2 linked regions of the Oreochromis niloticus genome follow. The protein of the gene in region 2 purifies or fractionates together with the protein of the main gene of each other region. This does not show direct contact. Links are inferred from orthologs where the notes say so. Each region holds a gene or a part of one and is shown on either strand. Other genes may lie near its edges. The genes, in order: ndufs3 and ndufaf1.

Region 1 (11,635 bases), on a different chromosome or scaffold from region 2:
TACATGTGGTGTGACGCTACCTCAAAACGGTTCTGCCGTGTCGGGATGTCGACAGCTGTCAGGTCAGTCATGTTCCTGAACTGAGCATTGGTGTGGTCCCTCAGGAAGGTCAGCACAGGGATGACTCCATCAGGATGGATCATCACCTCCAGCTCGTTGTAGCAGGTCACCTACACGTACACACATGAACAGTTTTTTAGGCTCTGCTGCAGGTTTCTGAATCTAAACATCCATCCATCCATCTTCTTCCTTACTCAGAGTAAATCCAAACATAGTCAGTCTATGTTTGGATTTCACAATAACTGTGAAAAGCCATCAATGTGCTGTCTCGGTCAGCAGCAGGATTTGCAACAGAAGAGTGTACGTGCTCACACTGTGATGTGAATATGAACTGACCTGGACCTGCTGAATATATTTGGGCATCATCTCTGCCACATACTCCCCAAACGCTGCCAGCTGGTTGTGAGCAACAGCATCCTTGGGCCTGACAGTGGCTACAAAGAGCAGAGGAGACAAAATTCACCACGACAGACGCTTCAGGCTGTGTAACATTTGACCAGAGTCACAGACGCAAATATGCATTTGTTTTCCAAACCAATTGTCTCGCTGATGTTCTGAGGACTCTCCTGAGCATTAACCCTTTAAGACCTACCATAGAACCAAGTCCGCCAGAGCTTATATTATATTTTTACATGCTGTAGTGCCAATTTTGGGAGCATTTCAAGTTGATATACATCAATACAACCATTATAGCCCAAATTTTAATAATATGTATGCATTAAGTGCATAGTAATTACATAAATTGCAAAAATGTGCAATAAACTACAAAAAAATTGAAAATCGTTTTTGTTTTTTTAACATATATTTCTAGTTAGAGAAATTTAAGAGGCTTATCCCTCAAAACTGTAAATACAAAAAAGTTGCACAAACTAGTTTCCCACCACAGGAAATTTATTTGAAGTGTCTTCATAGTTTTATTTTTGAAATACACCAATTTTTATATACTACAGGAAAAACGAAAATAAATATTATAATGCAAATTTGCAAAAAAGCAGCATATGCATCAAAATAAACTATTTCCAGCAGTGCAATATGAGTTCTAAGCATCACAGAAATGACACAGAAAGTCATAAAGTCAAAGATAACTTTTAAAAACACCAGTATAGGCTTTGAGGCTCTGATAGTAAAAAAAACTACATTTCCGCGAAAATGATGTCACTTCCGGTTTCGGGCAGGTAATGGCGGACATGGGAAAGTTCACGCTAACGTCTATTCCAACGTAGGAAGTGTTATGAACAGCTGATCGGATCGGCAAAGCGTGTTTCTGGAATATTATGTTTTTGTTGCTGGAAGTGCTTTTTATGCAGTTTTTGCAAAGCTATATGTGGAAGGAAACCGTGACCTAGGACAAGCTAATGGAATAAGATGTAAGTACAACTCCTACGGTTTCATATGCAAAAAAATTATTGCTCTAGCTTACGTGGCTGCAGAGCTACTGGGATTTAAAAATAGTTACGCAAAATGGAGCGTGCCCGCTCCGACCGGTTTTAAAGGGTTAAGGAAACACTGAGTCAGATTTTCCAATCTGATTACAATTTTTTAATCAATAAAACTGTTTTTTAAATATCTTGCTGCATTTTGTATAAGTTCATACTCAAGTTTAAATAAACAACAACACTAAAGCTATTCTGTTATACCTGTGTGTAAAAAATACACTGCACCCAAAATATTTCATAGTTCAGCAACACTGATCAATCTAATAAACTTAAACCTGCTCCATCCTCCCTATTCTGGTATTTTAAAGAGTACTTAGCAGAAATATTAAGCAACCTAACTAATAGGGTTGCAAACTCCCAGCAAAAGAAAATAGGGAACCACCCCCCACCCTCCACCTCATGATGCTTAATCGATGTAATCAACTTTAATTTGATGCAGGGTGAAAAAAAAAAATGTACAGAAATAAATTATTTTTCAAGAATAATTAAATAGATTCAACATCTTTCTTCAACAGAATTGCAGACTGCACAGATGGTACCTTCCCAAAGGAAAAAGTACTATAGCTTACTAGGGTATATTAGACTTAACAGTTACTATATACAGTAATGGACTTTGTTGGGAAGGAAGTATTATTTTTTGTCATTTTTATTATTTCCATGTATTATTTTATTTTTATTAATTCTATTTTTATTATTTTGTTATTACTGTTATTACTGACATTACTGTTGCATCATAATCATATAGCAAGTATATGTATACAAGAAGTATTGATACAAGAGGTATTGATATTGCATTCAAATGGTCAAACATATTGGTATCATATCAGCCTTTATTACAGGTCCAGTTATAACCACTTCAAACTGTTGAGTTGAATCTATAACCCGAAATGCTTTTGAATTTATAATCTTAAATGTTTATGCAGACTGCAGGGTGAAAGAGTAACTCGGTGCTAAAAGAAGACAGGAAGTTATATGTTTTTGAAGTTACATGCTTTTGCAGGAAGTGAAACCGAAAGCAGAGTCTGAGTGCAAGTTAAGAGCAGGGTGTTTTATTATGCATTTATCTTTGATTAATATCTCTGATTAAGTTGTAAGTAGTTGTGTTAGATTGAAACAGTTGTTTTATACATTTTACATATAAGTCAAGATCATCACAACACAGGATGGCCTTAGCCTGGTTGCCTAAGTTGAGGTCAACTAAGGTGCAGAGAGCATCTGTGCACGCACAGACAGACATACACACACATACACACACACGCTGTTAGGGTGTAGGTGAAAGTTGACTGATGAAGCAGTAGATGCACGATGCGAGAGCTGAGCTGGCTTACGGGAAACCACCGGGGAGAAGATGGAAGCCAGTGTACTTTTAATTGTGTCTTAAGTTGTCAAATGGAACATTTGTGGTTTTGAAGCTGATGTATGTGATGACGCAATGAGGGGGCGTCACTAAATATACTCTGATGCATATAAAACTGTATTTTGATGTTTGGAGGATGAGATTGTGGGGCTGTCTGCTCATAGAGTCCGCTCATTCTCCCACGCGTGTTTTTTCATTAAAATCATCGTCTTTACTCTTTGGACCAGTGTGGTTACTTGCATTCCTCCTGTGTTTCCTTCCCTATATTTCTGAACCTTAACAACTTCTATACATTTTACATCAGATTAAAACTTTGGGTGTAAGATTCAGATAATTATTTATTAAAAGCTCGACATTTTAAATGAGAATAAGAAAGAAAAGTATGTCTTTGTGCCCCCTTTTCCCTGTTCATGCCCTATCGGCCCCCCTGGCTACACTTTGCTAGATCCGCCCCTGCACAGTTACCAGCCGTCAGCTGCGTAGAAAAGGATCCTGGTGTAGAAAGTAATATTAAATACATTCTAACAACAGCTTATCAAGCTTAAACGTGCTGCTGTTGTTCAGCCGCTGGTTTCCTCTTTCTGGTGCAAAGGGGCCAAAAACAAAGAAGAGAGACGGACTCACGACAGAAAAGCCGATCAGCTGATCATTAAGCAGTTTCACGATTGAAGTAGCAACAGGAGAGAGAGAGGCAGTCGCTCCATATATCGGTTGTTAAGGTTAACGTGGGAACGCTTTACAAACATTCAGAGATGAACTTACACACTTGCTTTACTTCTCTCTGGGATAACTTCCTCGGAGATGAAATGCTGGTTTGGTAGCGAGGCTACAAATACACACAGCCGCTCTATCAGGTGACGCATACTGCTGCAACGTGCTACGGTTATGAGCCGAGTTACACCATGTTGCAAGTTTTGTGAGCTGCTTTTGTGTTATTTAATGGATCGGATTACATTTTTTACTTCTCTCCGATATCCGATCCAGTAAATTAGGTCAGCATCCCTAATTACAATATCTGGGTTTAAATTTCTGCCAACACCAATCGCTGATCCGATACCAGTGTTGAAATAATAAAGTCACTGTGAGGGACAGTTTGGGAATCAGTGCTAATATAACAGCAACTTCAGGGTCAATGACGGTGCTCCTAACTTTACTAAATAAAATCAAGCAAATAAAATATTTTGAATATAAAATAAAGATTTCATCAACGAAAACCTTTCAGTGAAAAGTTGAACATCTGAACCGTGTCCATTCATTTCAGAATGTCTCTTTGCTTACTGACTGCAGCACACGAGCTAGCTCCAACGGTTCAGCCGATCTTCATAAACCCTGTTATCCCAGTTCGACCTGACAATGACCCACAGAGCTTCTTGTGATGTCAGGAGCGTGTGCCTTTCTCAACCTGTAGATGCCTCCCAAGGTTACTGAAAAAATTGATGTCAGTAGGTCAGCACTTGTTCCTGCAAGTTTCCTCTGAGGTCTGGACTCTTGGATTCATGGATTCATGCTACTTTTCATTAGTCACCATGGTGTCTAGTTTCAGACAAGGTACTATCCCAACTATCCTGTTTAAAAGCTTTGACAAGTTGGCAGTTAATGTTGTCACTGGGCCTGTATTGTATAAGTAAACTGTGTGCTGTGAAGAAACACTGTACACTCTATACTGCAATGATGTCTCCATAGGCTTTAAATATTCAGGAGAAGCCAAAACTAAGTTTTACTCAATATTGTGATGACTGTGTGACAAATATTTTATGGAAATAGACTATTTTGTCATTTTCATGTTGATGCAGCAGGGGTGAGGTAGTGTTTCCCACTCCTGTCATATTCACATAGTAGCTACCGGATATTCACAGTTATAAATGTATTACTATTATTACTGGCTTTATGAACAAATGTAACTAAAAGTCCACGTATAGCTTTAACATTTCAAATAATATAAAATGTCAAAGCCAGTCATACCGCTCATTAGCAGATTGTAAAGCTAAAGGCAACATCATGAGTCATTACTGGGACTCCCCTTCCTGAGGAGGATTCAACACAGATGTTTCAGCCCAAAGCTCAGACTTCAAGAAGCGGCACACTAAGCCAGCAGCTGTGCTACATACACACAGGGTCGCCTCTTTGTTGCCAACTTTGTGTACCAGAGAGGTTTTTCTCATTCATCTGACACGGGCACAAAAGTCATGAAAGTCTTTTACTGCTGGGAAAACACTAAATTTTCATTTGATGTATTTAGTGCTTTATCTGACAGGTCGAGCTTTGTGTGTCTGTCAGCAGACAAATGTTATCAGCAAAATAACATCACACAGCAGCTTTAGTTATGGACCCCACTCCATGTGCTGTTACCTATATTTGGATCCTCTGGATATTTTTAAAGCATCTTATTTTTTTAAGCTGTAAAACGTTGCTGTGTAATTTTAGTCCCGGGGACAAAAACAACCCGTCACTGCAACCATGTCCGTAGGTACAAACTATGATTTGCTGCTCCATACTCCCACAGTAACGTCCTGTTAACTAGTTGAGTAAAAACAAATCCTAATGCCTATCTAAGTCTGGGGTCCCCAAACATTTGACAGCTATTAGTCCTAAAGTCAAACAGCTCGGTGGTGCAGCGACACTACCCTGCAGGATGAGTTAGTGTGTACTCACGTCTGGTCTCGGTGCTGGAGCCCTGCAGTCTGGTCTGCTGCTGCAGGAGACACGACGTCCTCGCAACTGAGGAGGGACAGACAGAAAGGATCAATCACAGAGGTACTGACGAGTGAATCCGCACTGCTACACAAGAGCTGGCTAAAGGTAGCATTAGCTAGCTCGAAGGTCAAACACGGAGCATTTGACAGCTGAAGACGACACTGTACTGGTAGCATGCAAACGGACGCAGGCTAAAACGAATCACTGCAATTTACAGCCTGTATATGAATTTATAGTTAACGTACTATTAAAGCTCCTTCCGAGACCTCCGCGGACAAACCGTACCAACGACGCCGCCATCTTGGCTCTCTCAAGTTTTCTCTTCGGTTCGAGAGCTGACTATTAGCGGCCAGTCGCCCCCTCGTGGACGGGAAGACAAATGTCACTCAATGACTGCGCGGTGCCCTGGAAAGTACACTGAAACGGAAATATTCAAACGTCACATTTTAACAGAGCGCCAAATGAATTAATTAAAAAAATATTAATTAAATATTTAAAATAAAATGGTATATAATTAAATATTTAAAATTGTAATTACTGAATAAATTATTTCAAATTTTAATTAATCAGTGCTACATTTAGTTATTTACAGATGTATTTAATTAATTGAGTTTGGCACTCGAGTGTAATTTTTAGCTCCAAACTATGCAAATGCTTAAAATACCACGATTTATATAACAATGCGTCATGATAGGACACAGCAGTGGCGGTCAATAAGTCAAACTACTCCTAGTGGCCTCTCAAGTCTGGATTAAAGAGGAAGGTTGTGTCAGGAAGATCGTCCGGCATAAAATGGTCACTGCTGTTAGCCAACGGCGTTTCAGTTGAAACTAATATTAAATGCTAAAGTTAAATGGTCTTCCAATAAACAGCTACCCTACTAGGATGACACGTTTGGACACTTTACGAGTAAAAGTTGACCAAATGTTTGTCCACGCTACAGTTAGATTTAGGTTTTATTTTGTTTTACTTCAATTTAATTTTTCTATTTGTTTGCATGAAATAGAATCTAACAGTGTATTATCACTTGAACATGTTTCATGTCTGTTTGCTTCGGGGACTCCGTCCTCATATTAAACCTTCTTGATGACTGTCACATTGGAACATCCCAACTTTATTTAAATATGTGCTTGCCAATAAGACCAAAGTACTGAAAACAAAGAAGCACCATTACTCTTTATGTCATAAATATTTATTTATGGTCATTTTTCTACATTATGAGGCACTGCAGAAAAATATAAAGCAAATATTTTCCAGTCTACACAGAAACACCTTCATTACTGAATTATTCACTACAGTGTTCTCATCTTGTTGGTTAAACTCCAGCTGACATCAGCCGGCTCTGACGGGAGTGTTTTCTTTTTTAAGAAAAAAGGTTGATCGCACTGCAGTGATTTGTCTTAGTTTGTTAGTTAAAACAGAATAACGTGGCTGGAAATCAAATTATAAAAAGGAAAATTTCTTTCAACAAAATTATATTAAAGAGTAAAAAAAACAGATAAATAACATCTTCTGTTCTGTAGCTGTACACATGCCAAAGAGGACTTGCTGAAAAGGCAACAGTTGCATTTCCTGTTACGGTTGTTCTGACGGAGGCTCTGAGTCGCCGTCTCCCACCTCCAGCGGGAACACACTGCCCCGCTCTCTCAGCTAGACTGTGCACACATCTGCTGGTAGTACTTCCTCAGCATCTCCAGCTGAGCGGAGCGTACTAGGATGTGCGGTCGAACAGATGCCAGCTTCTGACAGGCCTCTTCTGGAGTCCAGCAGTGTAACTGTCACCAGGAAAGCAAACGGTCAACACAGCAAACCTGTCGCTTGGTACCCGAGCGACTCATCAGCCATGAGCATGTTTCATACAATCACCACTCTGGAAAATTGACTTAAACACTCTGTGGTTCAGTGCATGTGGAGGTAAACGTGTCAAAAACTGAGCTGAAATGTGGCATGTGTTTTTTTTTTTAAATGACCATGTGTTTATATTTACATACCACTACTTTAAAGGTAAGTACGCTGGAATAAGAGGGTAAAAAGTCTGTTTTTTTGAGGAAACAAAGAAATATATTACATTGTAATTTAGCAGTATGCTGTACTGTTCAGGGAGCGGGCCATATTATGAAGCGGATTAACCTCGGCCAGTTTCTGGGTATTTTACAGGGAAGGAGAAACACACAGGAGGAGACGCAGAGTCGTGTTATGGATTGACTCGGGTATTTTAGAGGAAAGGAGACACAGCTTACAGTGTAAGTAATTTAAGTACACTGTAAGTTAAAAAGAACAACTGAATAACTGAAAATCCATCATGTACACAGTGTAACAAAATAAGGATGTAAAAAGGGATGGTTAAGTCACTCCACATTTACAGTCATCAACACGAAAACTGCATCAAAAATATTGTTTTTCTGCAAAATTACCAGCTAATTACACACTACTTAAAACAGGCTCTGAAACTGAAATGATGTCATCTCATTGGAGGACCACTTTGTGTTCAAGTAGTAATAAAAAACTAAACAAACAAGAAAACACCACAAATATTTCTGAAAATGTTTTGTTTGTTTTTTTAATTTCAAATATTGTATAACGAGACAAAACTGCAAACATGAACGCAGATTTTTATCGAACCACCAAACAAACACACTGGTCCTCTCGGTCTGTGCACACGCGTGGCAGCACTGCTGCCGTCATTGTGTTTGTGTTTAACAAAATAAACTGCAGACATAAGTGTGACTCTGTCACCGAGCTAACAGCCCATCCCTCAGCATGTTTGTGCTCTCTGCTCATGCTGCCTTCATGTTCAATCATTTTTAGCTTTTTAAAGAACTTCAAGGACACACTGCATGAGATTTCTTCAAGTGGCCCCCGGGCCGCGAATTTGAGGCCCTGACTTAAAATAAGTTACGCAATACTCAATACACTAATTGTGTCTCCTTTCCTCTAAAATACATGCAGGTTAGGCATGTTTAGTCCACTCTGTAATATTGCCTGCTCCACAGAAAGTAACACGTATTTATGACGTAAATACAGGGAAATGTTGTTTGTTTTGCTGCTAAAATACCAGGAAATTACACAGTACTTAAAAGTGCTTATGTGCTGCTCAGATTTTATGACAGTATAATTATTTTTCCTGTAAAAACCTGATTTGTTGCCGCCTTATTCTTACTTGTTCAAAATTATCCAACATAACAAATGTGAATTTATTATTCTATTTATTAATTATGTCTTTATTTTTTATCTGCCCTTTATGCTTTATCTTGCGTTACCATGAAAAGTGGGATGTTCTTCTCTCCACTTTCTGTTTTTGTGCAAACTGCTGTCTGCAGTTCAAACTAAAGATGGACCGATCCGATATTACGTATCGGTATCGGTCCGATACTGACCTAAATTACTGGATCGGATATCGGAGAGAAATAAAAAATGTAATCCGATCCATTAAATATCAAAAAAGCACCTCACAAAACTTGCTACACGGTGTAACTCGGCTCATAACCGTAGCACGTTACAGCAGTGTGCGTCATGTGATAGAGCGGCTGTGTGTATTTGTAGCCTCGCTACCAAACCAGCATTTCATCTCCGAGGAAGTTATCCCAGAGAGAAGTAAAGCAAGTGTGTAAGTTCATCTCTGAATGTTAGTAAAGCGTTCCCGCGTTAAGCTTAACAACTGATATATGGAGCGACTGCCTCTCTCTCTCTCTCTCCCTCTCCTGCCGCTACTTCAATCATGAAACTGATCAATGATCAGCTGATCGGCTTTTCTGTCGCGAGTCCGTCTCTCTTCTTTGTTTTTGGCCCACTTTGCACCAGAAAGAGGAAACCAGCGGCGGAACAACAGCAGCAAGTTTAAGCTTGATAAGCTGTTGTTAGAATGTATTTAATATTACTTTCTACACCAGGATCCTTTTCTACGTAGCTGACGGCTGGTAACTGTGCAGGGGCGGATCTAGCAAAGTTTAGCCAGGGGGGCCGATAGGGCATGAACAGGGAAAAGGGGGCACAAAGACATACTTTTCTTTCTTATTCTCATTTAAAATGTCGAGCTTTTAATAAATAATTATCTGAATCTTACACCCAAAGTTTTAATCTGATGTAAAATGTATAGAAGTCCATTACTGTATATAGTAACTGTTAAGTCTAATATACCCTAGTAAGCTATACTACTTTTTCCTTTGGGAAGGTACCATCTGTGAATTCTGCAATTCTGTTGAAGAAAGATGTTGAATCTATTTAATTATTCTTGAAAAATAATTTATTTCTGTGCATTTTTTTTCACCCTGCATCAAATTAAAGTTGATTACGTCGATTAAGCATCATGAGGTGGAGGGTGGGGGGTGGTTCCCTATTTTTTTTTTTTTGCTGGGAGTTTGCAACCCTATTAGTTAGGTTGCTTAATATTTCTGCTAAGTACTCTTTAAAATACCAGAATAGGGAGGATGGAGCAGGTTTAAGTTTATTAGATTGATCAGTGTTGCTGAACTATGAAATATTTTGGCTGCAGTGTATTTTTTACATACAGGTATAACAGAATAGCTTTAGTGTTGTTGTTTATTTAAACTTGAGTATGAACTTATACAAAATGCAGCAAGATATTAAAAAAAGTTTTATTGATTAAAAAACACACTATATCGGATTCATATCGGTATCGGCAGATATTCAGATTTATGACATCGGTATCGGACATAAAAAAGTGGTATCGTGCCATCTCTATTGCAAACAGCAGGTGGCAGTTTGAGCGCGACCTCCTCACAGTTTCATACTGACCCGTATGAGGTAGGCGGCAGCTAATGTGGCGCTCCGGGAACGTCCAGCCTTGCAGTGCACGTACACACTGGTTCCCTGCTCTTTATGCTGCAGTGCAAACTCCACGCCTCTGTGGAGGTTCTCCATGCTGGGGACACCAGTCAGGTCCACAGTGCTCAGCCTGAGCTGCTCCACACCAGCAGCCTGCCACTCCTGCATCAGCGCCGCAACAATAAATGACACAGTGTATGAGGGGCAGCTCTTTGGCACTGTTAGGGTTTGAACTTCTATCACACATCAGTATTTAACTTATCTTGCATATACATGACAGCACAGGGTCATTTCAAATATGAGCAGGACGATTCAACTGCACCTCAACTTAATAATGGGAACTCAAACGAAGGGAACTCACCTGAGCTGAGTTGCAGAAATATTTGGTCTCATACTCTTCGTTCATGGTGATCACCCCTCGAACATTTTCTGTTTCCACCAGCTGCAACAGCAAAAACAGGTCATCAGCTCTGAGTTGAAAACTGCAACTGCCACGAGAGCAGCGCTCTAAGTACGCTTTCTCTCCTTTATTCCATTTTTTTATGAGGTCTTGACAAAATATATTTCCAGTCTCTTTCTCTGCTCTTCATACAAGCAGAGGTGGAAAGTAACAAATTACATTTACTTGCGTTACTGTAATTGAGTAGTTTTTTTGTGTATTTGTGCTTTTTAAAGTCATTTTTCAAGTCTGTAATTTTACTTTTACTTAAGTATATTTTTTAAAAAGTATTGTAGTTCGCTACGTTTTCAATCACACCCGTTACTGAGTAAATTAAAAATAAAAAAAAAACATTGCGCTTCAGAAATACTGCAGGGAATGATGGGTAGTAGAACAAATTGGCGCTAAGGTCACGTTAAAGATGGAGTCTGACATCGGTGTTATGGATCCAGTGAAAAAAGAAGCCCCGTCGAATTCTGCTGACCCTGAACTCGAAGAAACGGATGTGAACCCCTGGCCGTATTTAAGGGACCATTTCGGCTTCAAGTGCAAGAAAGGCAACAGCTTTATTATGCAGTGTAAGCTGTGTTTGCCCAGAGAGACCGAGTTAGCAGCTTTTAAAAATTCCACATCAAACCTGCGCAAGCATGTAGAGGTAAGTTAAATACAACTCGTACCGTTATGGTAGCAAAAGATAAGATAAGATAAGATAAGATGGCCTTTATTAGTCCCACAGGTGGGAAATTTGTTTTGTTACAGCAAAAGTGCAAAGTTATGTAGCAGAAATTAGAAAACACTGGAATGCAATAAAATAAAATAAAATAAAATACTATGTACAATAGAATAAAATAGAATAGAATAATA
Region 2 (11,371 bases):
TGCCACCCCCACACACACACACACACACACACACACACTTCAAAATCTTTGAATAATGTTATAAATTTTATTTGTTTATCTAGATTTCAAAAAACTTCATGAGGCTCATTTCAACAAGATGGAGTCCATTGATTCCTATGTTCAGCGGAAGACGAAACAGATGGAGACGTACAGAAATTCAGTCAAGGAACTAAAGGTGCCAAATCATCTTGGCTTATTTTTATTCAGGAAAAATTAAGTCTAACTTTTACTTGAACTTTATTTTATTTTTTACCTGTAGAGTCTTTCAGACAAAACTGAGCTGCTGCAAGTTGATGGCAAAGCTCAAGTGGTAAGCATCACCATCTACTCGTCACCCACATTTAATGTATATATCAATTACTTCTAAAGCACACTAATGGCACATGTGTATATAATCCCACAGAGGGCAAATCCAACTCGTGCTTCAATGTTCAGCCCTGCCCCAGTGAACAAGACACCAGGTGGAGGAAACCGCAGGCACACTTTGCTTTCAGCCACCAAAAAACCTCTTGCAAAGGAGGTCGTCTCCTTCAGGCCTTCTGTTCTTTCCACTCGCAGGATCAATGTTCGGTGAGTCACCGTTTTGTCCTCTGGCCTTTTGATACAACAAATCTAATGAATTTCTAGGGGATCTAATATGCCTTTTAAATGAACAAAAGTACTGAGCCACACAGTCTTTTAATCTTCTCATTAGTTATCAATCACATTCACACAGGTGTACAAAACTTGTGACTTAGCCATGCAGTCTCTGTTTACAAACACTGGTGAAATAATGGGTCATTCTAAAGGATTAACCTGAATTCAAGAGTGGAACTGCAAAAATAAACTTTAAGTGGTATTGCAAAGTGAAAACATTGAAACTTAAGTTTTGTATTCAATGTAATGCTTTAATGAGAACTGTCTACATACAGGTTCTCAGAAGCTACTCATGACAATGAATATAAAAGGTCACTGGTGAAGACACCTGCACGCATGTCACCTTGCGTGGCTTCCAGCACCCCTCAGAAACAGACCGCCAACGGATTAAAGCCCAGCAGTGTCAAAACTGCATCTTTCTCGGCCACAAAAACTCCAGGTACTTTGACCTTTCAACCCTTTGAATGATATCTGAAGTATATGTCTCTAAACATCGTAGATGATGATATTTCCCCCCCCCCCCCCCCCCCCCCCACTCTGCAAGGACCATTTGTTTTCACTGGCAACACAAGCACTTCAACAACGCCTGGCACAAACAAGAAACCCAGCTTTGATCTGAAGGCGAGTCTGTCACGTCCCCTCACCTACAAGCCTCATAAAGGTATAAAAATGTTCTCATTTTCCCTGTTCGTGTGAAACACTATTTGAATGGATGAGATGTAGCATTGAGTCTTTTATTTTATACATAGGTAAACTGAAGCCATTTGGAGATGTCAAAGAAAACATGGCCATGAACCAGTCTATCTCAAATCCACATCAGGAAGCTTACAAACAGCACAAAGTCCAGTCAAGGTAGGTCCTTAATTAACACTGAAAATTCTCCCATTGCAGTTTGCTCATGCAACATCTCTGAATGTCTTTAATCCTATTTTAGGGAGGGCCGCAGAGCAAAGCAAGTACAAGATCGGAAGCAGAAGAAAGAAAGTATCCTTGGGGCAAGAAGAGGCCTTGTCATGGCATAAAAATATTGCGCCTGCTCGTGGCCGTTTGTACAGCCTGTTGAAGTGTAAATATTTCATTGTCTGCAGCTTCAGTTTCAGCAGCATCTTGTAGCCCCTTGTAGAAAAGTAGTAGAAGCTTAAATATACTTTCTAGCGTCTTTGAGGTTCAAATTGTGCATTTCTTTTAAACAGTTACCTCCAACTCTAATCCCTTTTTTAAAATAATATTTTGATGTGATTGAAGTCTTTCCTGTTTTGCTGCATTTTGAAGCTTGTAATTAAAAATTTCATTTGCTTTATTACTTTTGCTAGAATTGAGGCATTCATATAAAAGAGTTATTAACCCAAGAGCTTGTCTCTTTTTTTATTTGTTCTCCTGTGGTATTTAATACATCATTTAATAATAAACAATCTGCATGAGTCATTAAATATTAATAGTTTGAATTCTGTAATGACATTACAGAAATGGTGTCAATATAAGTTCAAATTTGTCCCAACAGTCTGATTGCAGCATTAACAGTTCTTAGACTTCTGGGTTCCTCTTGTATGCTTCGTAGGCAAACTCCTCTGTGTGTGCATAATCTTTACAGACACCAATGAAATCAATTTCAAGCTGGAATGGGCCATCAGCTTTGTCTCCCAAAGTAAACCCAATGGTGTTAACCTGTAAATACAAATACAAAAAAACAATGAAGGCCACAAGCTAAAAAGGGATTCAGGTAATGATACATCAGTTTTATCATCACTTTGTGAGGAATGTTTCTTTGCACTACCTTGTCCAGCCAGACAGGATGCTGGTCATCTTGTATCCTCCCTCGATGTGTAAGGAAGAACTTGGAGAAAGGAATCTGCAGAAGAACATTTTCAGGCTGATCAACATATTTGATACTATCATGCCTCTCAGACAGACCTATAAAGATTTGTTACATAATTTTTTTTTAATAAACTTCACCTTAACATCCTGCCAGTAGGGCCCTCCTCTGGTATATAGGAAATAACAGTATATGTCATCCTTCTGGTGAGAGAAGTATGTTTCTGCTGAGATGTTAATCATCCATGGGCGACCATCACCACGTACACGTAAATGCAGAGTGTTAAAACTGCTCCAATCATGGTGTTTTTTTCTATCAAAGGAAGCCTAGGAGAGACAAAAGACTTGGGAATTAGCATTTACATAAACTGTAATGTGGGAGGACCCTTCTGCATCCTACAAAAACAAGGAATTCAGCAATGAACACTAACCAGAGGCTGTTTTGAGCGCATAGTGCAGTATCCACTGTAGCGTGTTTCTCCATCTCGTGGGGGAGTAGAGCTCAGTGTCCCATACAGAAAACAGGTATTATTGTTCCTTCCAAGCTTCAGGTAAGCTTCACTATGGCCTCCAATCTCACGATCAGAGGACACCGTCCACTCCCCCAGGCTCTCTGGACCTCTGAACTCCCATACAGCTCTGTTCTGCTCCAGCATGTGCTCAACAATCGGTTTACCCTCAGGGCCAACCCAGCGGTCAGTAAACTCCTTTTTCAGGAGTGTGAAATGCTTCTTTATTCCCTCCAAACCTTTTGAGAAGTTAAAGTTAATCTTTTTCCAGGGAAACTTGGCCTTTCTGGGCTGGCCGGGCCGTTTGTATTCACCCTGGATCACAGCCCTTTTTGGCACAGTGAGAGGAATGATGGAGGGGAGAAGCCTCTGGTGGTGGAGGATGGCGCTCAGCAGCCTCCCAGAAGGGAGGTGTGTGATCCTCAGCAGGGACATTTCAACGCTGATCTGCAGGTTTCACTGCTGACATACATAACACAGAGTAACACAGTCAAAATGAATATAACCAGGAATATGTTTCTCAAAAAGAAAATAATGGCCTGACACACTTTAAACAATATGTATATAGTTTTGTATAATTATTCAATAGAGGACATTTAAACTGTCCCACTTCATACAACTATAGTTATGAAGAAAAATGAAAAGCTTCTTGTTTCAGTTATGTATTCCTGGGTTTTCTTCACGTCCATTTCCAAACTGAGCAGAAGTTTTTCGCAGTTTACTGGTCTGGTGCATTCAGATGTGTGTTAACACAATGTTGATGAAAAATGACTTTAGCAAAGATGGTAAAGAAGTTTCTGTCCAATCTATCTTGGAAGGATTTTACAATGCTAAAAAAAAAAAAAAAAAAGACAGAAATTCAAACCAAGACAATTACTAGATTAAGGAAGGGCATCTCTATAACCACACTCCCACTCTCATTTCTTAATTCAATCACTTGACTCCAAGTAGTTTCTGGAGAGGTCATGATTTCTTTTCCCTGTCTAAACAGTTGGTGAATAAACACTTTTACCTCCAAGTCCTTAGAATTAAAACGGATTGTGTGCTATTGGTTTTGAATGACTGTCAGATACATTTTCTTCGAATGATATTTGTCTAAACACACAAATTAATCAATAAAAGCTTAACCATACTGGAATTACTGAAACCGGAAAAAATTACATGAAGTAATTTTAAATTACAGTTAATAACTTAACACAGTGTAAACTGTTTACACTTACGTTGACTACGATGGAGCAGCAAATGTCTGGTAGATACATCAGGGCTTGTTCGGGTTAGGTTTTATCATACACTATGATACATATCTCTAATATGGGGAAGAAAAAAAATACAGACTGCTGGTGTATGCTAGCCCAAAGTTGTCCCAGTATAAACAGGTAACCCAAAACAATTGAAATTCCTTCAGCAAACCTTCGACCAGAAATGTCACTGGAGCCACAAGGTAATCACTGAACACAGCTTCCGTGCATCAAAGATTACTGTCCTGACTCCTGTACTCATATATGGTTCCCTCTCTCTGCTAACTGTATATGTTCTTATATCCACCGATTCCGTTTCTGTAGTATGTTCTTTAGTTGAATTTCCTTATTTAGTGTAGAGGGATCAAGAACAAAAAATGCTTTTATATGTCACTTAAACACTTTGCGTCAATCAAGCTGTTTATACTGGCGCGCATGCGCAGTTCCGCCTTTGTGTGATTGACTCCAGAGCTAGTCAGGTAGCAGCGACGGCTATCGTAGACAGCATTACATTAGACGACACAGTGGTAGCAAGTGGGTTAGCTCTGCAGCTAATCATGGTGAATGTAAAGAAGCGGAAAGGTCGAGTCGTTATTGACTCTGACTCGGAAGACAGCGCTAGTGACGATAACTTAGATCAGGTAGGTGTTATTTTTACCGTTTTTCCCCACCGGTGGATTCTGAAGTTGACAACAGTTTGAGGCTGAAGCTAATGTGTGCTAGCTGATTGCGCTGAGTGGGCCTATTTTATTTACAACCGTTGTTTCCTTTGTGATAAAACACTCAAATCTTAACATGGAGCTTGGTTTCTGCTAAGCGTTTACGAGTTTCCGTATGGTACTGGATAAAATGGAAAGTGTTTGAGTTTGTACAGAGCCAGCTCGTTAAGTTATGAAAGGTACCCAACGCTTGCAATCATGCAGTATTATGTAGCCATGAAAATGCCGCGCCGTGGGCCTTTGACTGGTTTCGAGCCGTAAGCTGCGTGACTGCAGTCGTGCTCTGTTGGATAATTGGTGATTTAGCGTTCAGACTAAACTGGAATGGGATTTGTTTGTTTTTTTTGACAAAGTGAAACCGTTCTGGAGTCGCGTTTGCTTTAGACAGAACATTATCTCCTGTATGACGTCATGAGCCGAAGTTCTATTTCGGTGGTGTTGTTGTCAAACTGCTCCTGGCAGAGAAACATGTCAGTCTGAAGAGCTGGCAACGCTGTTCACATCACCTTTAAACTCACGTGTAATTGACCCTTTCCCAGAGAAAACAGAAACGGTGACCACAGAAGATCAGACTGGGTCAATAAGACCAGCTTCTTCGGTTGCTCAAACGGTCAGTAGGTTTGATCGTGCGTGTTTTTTGACCGATTGTTAAGTGCGGATTAATATAGTTATCTTCTGTAGTTGCACGGTCTTTGTGGATTTAGAGAAAGCACGTGATAGGGTGCCAAGAGAGGAACTGATGTGCTTACAGGAGGGAAGTCAGGTGAGGTTGTTGCTGGTGCAGAGACAGTGGTGAGGTATGTGGTAGGAGAAAGGGGTTAAGGTGGGAGTGGGATTACATTGGAGATCTGTTCTGAGCCCCTTTTTCTTCTCAGTGTTGATAGACAGGTTGACAGGTGAGATCAGGCAGGAGTCTCAATAGACTGATGTTTGCAGATGACATAGTGATCTGTATTGAGAGCTGGGAGATGGAAGCGAGTCTGGAGAGATGAGGAATAAAAGTCAGTAGAACCAAAGCAGAATACGTTTGTGAACGAGAGTTAAATGGGTGTAACCAAAGCTGCAAGGAGTAGAGGTAGTGAAGATACATGCGTTTAAATACCTGATGTCAACCATCCAAAACAAAATGAGTGTAGAAGAGAGTGCAGGCAGGGTGGAGTTGGTAGAGATGAATGTTAGGGGGACTTTGGTGCAGAGATTTTCACTGGGAGTGATCAGAAAATGCCAAGATAAGAAAAAAAAAAGTAGTACATCAAAGGGACAATTCAGATTGAGCAGTTTGGAGACAGAGATGGTTTGAAAATATGCAGATGAGGGATAGTGGATATATTGGAGAAAAGGTGTTGAATATAGATCTGTGAGGCAGGTGACAAAGAGAAACCACAGAGGAGGTTCATGGATGTAGTAAAGGAGTAGATGCATGTATTCTAGGGATAGTGTGAGTTCAAGGCAGATGATCCACTGTGGTGAACCTTAAAGAAAGCAGGTGAAAGAAGAAGATTGGAGGAATGAGGTGTTAAATGTTACCAGAGGCATTGCTAGGATCTTGAAACTTTGGGTGGTTAAACCAATCCAGAAATCTTTTGGATTTTCAGTTGAAAACAGCAACTTTTTAAAGTTGTTAATTAGTCTTTATAGTGAAATATCAGACACTGTAAAGGTTGCAATCAGGTGTGTTAGCCTGCCTTTCTTTAAAAAAAAAAAAAAAAAAAATGCAGTCAGTATATAGTATATATATACCACAAAGTATATATCCATATTACTAGCATTGAGCATTGAGGTTCATTCTTGATTTTGCATATGCATAATAATTTAAGATCTTTTCTTGGGAATCATGAGCTTCCCAGCGTCACTCTGTAACCATAGTTACCCATTGTCATGCATGCCTGTTTACACAGTTTTGGAGAAAGACGACAACTCTGCTGCTGTTTAAGCCTGACATTAATCTGAGCAGCATGCGTCAATTCATGTCTACAGCATGGTAGTGTTGTTGGTATTTCTCAATATTACCCTGATGGTCTAAATAACTGAATTTGTTTTGTAATTGCATTAGAAAATAGATGTGTAAGACGTGTGTGAATTTGTGGCACAATGTGATGACAGCCAGAACGTGTAGGAGAAGGCAATTTAATAAGCCTGTAATTCACCAACCTTATTTTGTAGCCAAGGCGTCGTTCTTCTCATGTCCAGTCTGCGCCACTTCTTCCTTCCTGCGATGCTATTTTGAGATTGGTTCCTGGAACACCTTTTCTGAGCACTTCAGTGTGGATATTAACAGTTTCACCATGGACCCTAAGCACTCAACTCATTCACAATGACTATAATTGCTGCTGAAGAAACTTGGTCTGAGTCTCCCAAAGATTGAATTGGAGTTTTCATTTGAAGAGCCAGCAGTTTCCAAAATTGGAAACTGCTCATTGCAAAATTTAATTTAGCTAACTTTAAGTTAAGGTTTTTGACTTTTACAAGTTGAATTTATAGATCTTTTAACATAGAGATGAACCCTCAAATTAGCCCCAAAGCAAACGTTTCAAAACAGTGGTGAGGAAAGCTCCCTTGTAACAAGAAGAGACCTCAAACAAAAGCAGACTCGGAGTTCATGGATATGTGTTTGGCCAAATTGGTGAGGACAATAACTGCAGATGTACATGGATTTCTTTGGGTACAGGTAAAAAGTAGAAACTGCAAGACTGAGAGAACTTGTTAATGATATGCAGCAATGGTGAATAAATGCATGATAAGCTAAAGAGATGACCTCAGTGTTTTGGAGGACCTATAGTAGTATAACTGAGGCTATGTCCACACTAGCCCGGATAGATTTGAAAACTGCGTTTTCGTCTGAAAACGCTCCGCGTCCAAACTATCGTTTTCAGTCGTTTTCACAGAGTTGTGCGTCCACATTGAAACGGCCGAAAATACTTACGTTCCAGTACTGCGCATGCGTGAAACGCAAGACTGTTCGACCTATCATTTCTGTGGCTGTGAATCTTTGTTGACATAAACTGCAGGAGCTGTATGTGAAAAAGCAATTGTTTTTCTAAGCTGAATTGCAAATGCTCTTCAGACTGCTTGCTCTTTAGTACAAATACCGTATAATGTCTTGCTTCATCCATGTGAGAATATAGCACTTTTGTCAAGCTTTACATTCTTGCTGCTCTATATAGTCTGTAGCCTTGAATAAACCAAATGGCTGCTGTTGTAAACTTCACGAGAGAAACCATCTTTGATCAGTGTCCCGACATGATCCTCCCTGCATTATATTACCGGTAAGTCACAGGGAAAGAAATTGTATTTAATGAAAGCTCTCAAGTGTGTGTGAGAGAAAGAGAGAGAGCATAGTTTTGTTGTTCTTTTTCTGCATTTTGTAGTAATGGAGTATGTAGGTTCACTTTCTTTTTGTGTGTTATCAGGTCCTGTTCGAGCAGTTGTCTTGAATAACAACATTACATAAATGTAGTTGAGGCAAGTTAATCATCAAACTAGCATTGGAATGTGTTTTGAGAAATACAAGGCACATGTAATTTTACTTCTGGGAAACAGATTGAAGCTAAATAATAAGGAAAATAAGCTTTTGTTGGGTTTAATCATTACATTTAAAGGTTCTACTTCTGCTGATCATGTCCCACTATATGAATTACAGAGAAGTGGCTTGAGAAATTCTGTCCATTTGTACTGCAGTATGGGTAAATAATTTTTTTTTGACCCCTCTGCTAAATTTGTATGTTTGCCCACTTATAAAGAAGTTCTTTAATTTTCTTGGCTGCTCCTTGGCAACTCAAAGCTTCAGCTCCCTTCACACTTTTCAGACTGGCTAGGCCACTGCATTATCTTAATCTGCTGCTTTTTTAGACACTCCTGATGCCTTGGTAGTATGCTTTGGGCCATTCATGCTGGAAAACCCATCCACGACCTCTCTGGAGTGTTCTGGCTGAGGGAAAGGGTCTCTTATCAGAAAGTCTTCATGTACCAGAAAAATCTTCTGGTAATACTAATATTACTAATATTAGGTACCAGATATTAGGTATTATAATACTAATATTAGGTACCAGAAAATCTTCTGGTACATGACTCTTCAATTATGTTCTTTACCCTTGGCAGAAAAACAGCCACAAAGCGTAATGTTTCCACCTCCGTGCTTGACTGTGGGCAAGGTGTTTTTTGGATCATACTTGGCATTTGTCTTACTCCAAGCATGCCAGATTGAGTTGATGACAGAGAGCTTGATTTTTGGTTTCGTCTGACCACAGCACGTTCTCTGCAAATCTTCTGTGAATCATTTTAGATGTTCAGTGGCAAACATAAGACAGGCATGTATATGTGCCTTCTTGAGCAGGGGGACCTTGCGGACACTGAAAGGTTTCAGTCCATTATGTGTAATTTGTTACCAATGGTGTTCTAGTGACTGCAGTCCCATCTGTCTTCAGATCATTAACCAGCTCCTCCCATGGAGTTTTAATCTAATGCCACCACCTTTTTCATGATCATCATCCTCACCCTATGAGGCAAAATCTTGTATGGAGCTCCAGACCAAGGAATACTGATGGTCTCTTTATATTTCTTCCATTTCTAAGTAATTGCAACAACAGTTGTCACCTTCTTGCTAAGCTTCTTGATGATGGTCTTGTAGTCCATTCAAGCCTTGTGCAGGTGTACAATCTTGTGTCTGACGTCTCTTGACAGCTCTTTGGTCTCACGTATGGTGGTGGTGAGGTCAAAATGAAAGGAATTGATTTTGTGGACAGGTGTACTAATCTGTGGGAGCCTTAATTCTGGCTGGGCGAGTACTAAACGAGTACTAATTTCACTCAGTGACATTTATAACATTTATGTAATGTGTTATTTCTGGATGTTTTGATTGATATTCTGTCTCTTCATTAAAATGAAACTACATTACAGAGTATGCAGTTCTTTGTAAGTGAGCTTACAAATTCAGTAGTAGGGCTGTGCGATATGACCAAAATCTCATATCCCGATATAAGAATTCTATCGTCCCGATAACGATATAAATCACAAAAATGTAACATTTTCTGTAAATTCTGTGAATCTCGGGCAGCTCGACTTGCGGGAAGTGTTTCTAGCTGCGCGTTATGTAGCTGGAGACGAGTATTTTAACCGATGCATGAAACTATACATTTTTAGACATAAGTTGTAACGGCCGCGTTTTCTTTGTATTTATTACATGGCGTGCTGCGGGGAAAAGCCTGTTCTAACGTTTGAGTCTAAGGTTTATTTTTTAATACCTGGCGGCTCTTTTTTACTTCTCATCCGTAAATACTCTGCATCTTTCACGTGATTCAGTTTATTTTGAAAAGTCCCAACAGGATCTTGAGCTTTATTGTGAAAGGCTTATGTGGAACATAAACAAACGGACACGCAATGGTGTTACCGTCGTTGTTGCTAACCACAACACATAAAAACAGGCGCTTGTCCGTCTGTAGTGTGGTTATATTAAATATAAGAGAAAGAGAGAACTTTAAGAAATTAATATAGCCACTACAGTGACCATCAAAACGATGAAAAAATATTGCCGTAAACAGTTTATTTTGCGACACCACGAAACAAACGATAGCGTAAAATGAAACGATAGATGTTTTTATATCTTCATCCGATATATATCGTTATATCGAACAGCCCTATTCAGTAGGGCATCAAATAATTATTTCCCTCACTATAGGTGAACCTTTCTAAACCACATCACTGTTTTGTCACTTGCAGGAGCTGCTGTCTTTGGCGAAGAGGAAAAGGGTTGATTCGGGTGAGCAGGAAGAACCTGTTGGCAAACCAGCAGCTTCCACAGACTCTGAGACATCTGACAGTGATGACGAGGTATAGCAATATTAGTATTTACTCTAAAAGACCTTACAGTTTGACACATATGAGGCACAAGAGACTAGACCTGAACTCACTGTCAATTACATAATCAAAAGTTAAATTTTCATTCCTATTATCCAGTGGACTGTCGGTGGCACCAAAGGCAAAAAGAAGGTTAAGCAGGGCAAAGGGTCTGAAAAGAAGAACGCTACAAAGAAGAAGGTTAATAAAGCGACAGCGTCTGGTAGCTCAGATGGGGACAGCTCAGCTGAAAGCTCTGCACCGGAGGAAGGTAGGTTTCTTAATTCAGTGTTCACATTGGAAAAAGATTTTCCCTGCTCTCAAATAAGGCTTCTTTGAAGACTTATTTCTTCTTTTTTTTAAAAAAATTAAGTCACACATCTGTCCATAGCAGTTTAGTAGCATTTCAAGGCTACTAAACTGATGAGCAAAACGGACTTGTATGCGTTCTCATGTTTAAAACATGTTGCCATGAAGTGTAGAGCGGGACATCCAGACATATTATGAACTGTAGATTATACATCACTACAGTGCTGCATCCACAGTTTTTTTTTTTTAAGATGTTAGGATTACATGACTCATTCACTCATCCTGTTTATCCCAG

Evidence for each region.
Region 1: the proteins of ndufaf1 (region 2) and ndufs3 purify together in Homo sapiens (affinity purification with mass spectrometry; 4 studies listed by BioGRID and IntAct, counting the BioPlex papers as one, with this or other methods). This does not show direct contact. The link is inferred for Oreochromis niloticus from reciprocal best matches to the Homo sapiens genes NDUFAF1 and NDUFS3.

What each region holds. Positions count from the first base shown.
Region 1 is NC_031965.2:1,582,968-1,594,602, reverse strand, and holds the start of ndufs3 (NADH dehydrogenase [ubiquinone] iron-sulfur protein 3, mitochondrial), read right to left. Parts: upstream 5,952-11,635; 5' UTR 5,848-5,951; coding exon 5,793-5,847; intron 5,572-5,792; coding exon 5,506-5,571; intron 495-5,505; coding exon 397-494; intron 171-396; coding exon 21-170; intron 1-20. Other genes in the region: ptpmt1 (phosphatidylglycerophosphatase and protein-tyrosine phosphatase 1), read right to left, coding at 7,194-7,322, 10,303-10,494, 10,694-10,774.
Region 2 is NC_031983.2:22,113,768-22,125,138, reverse strand, and holds ndufaf1 (complex I intermediate-associated protein 30, mitochondrial), read right to left. Parts: upstream 4,534-11,371; 5' UTR 4,389-4,533; intron 4,285-4,388; 5' UTR 4,199-4,284; intron 3,809-4,198; 5' UTR 3,596-3,808; intron 3,441-3,595; 5' UTR 3,414-3,440; coding exon 2,901-3,413; intron 2,797-2,900; coding exon 2,611-2,796; intron 2,507-2,610; coding exon 2,432-2,506; intron 2,323-2,431; coding exon 2,182-2,322; 3' UTR 1,680-2,181; downstream 1-1,679. Other genes in the region: nusap1 (nucleolar and spindle-associated protein 1), read left to right, coding at 84-196, 281-331, 425-591, 933-1,096, 1,202-1,318, 1,407-1,509, 1,592-1,679; RNA polymerase-associated protein RTF1 homolog, read left to right, coding at 4,774-4,857, 10,651-10,761, 10,888-11,038. UniProt on the Homo sapiens protein: As part of the MCIA complex, involved in the assembly of the mitochondrial complex I.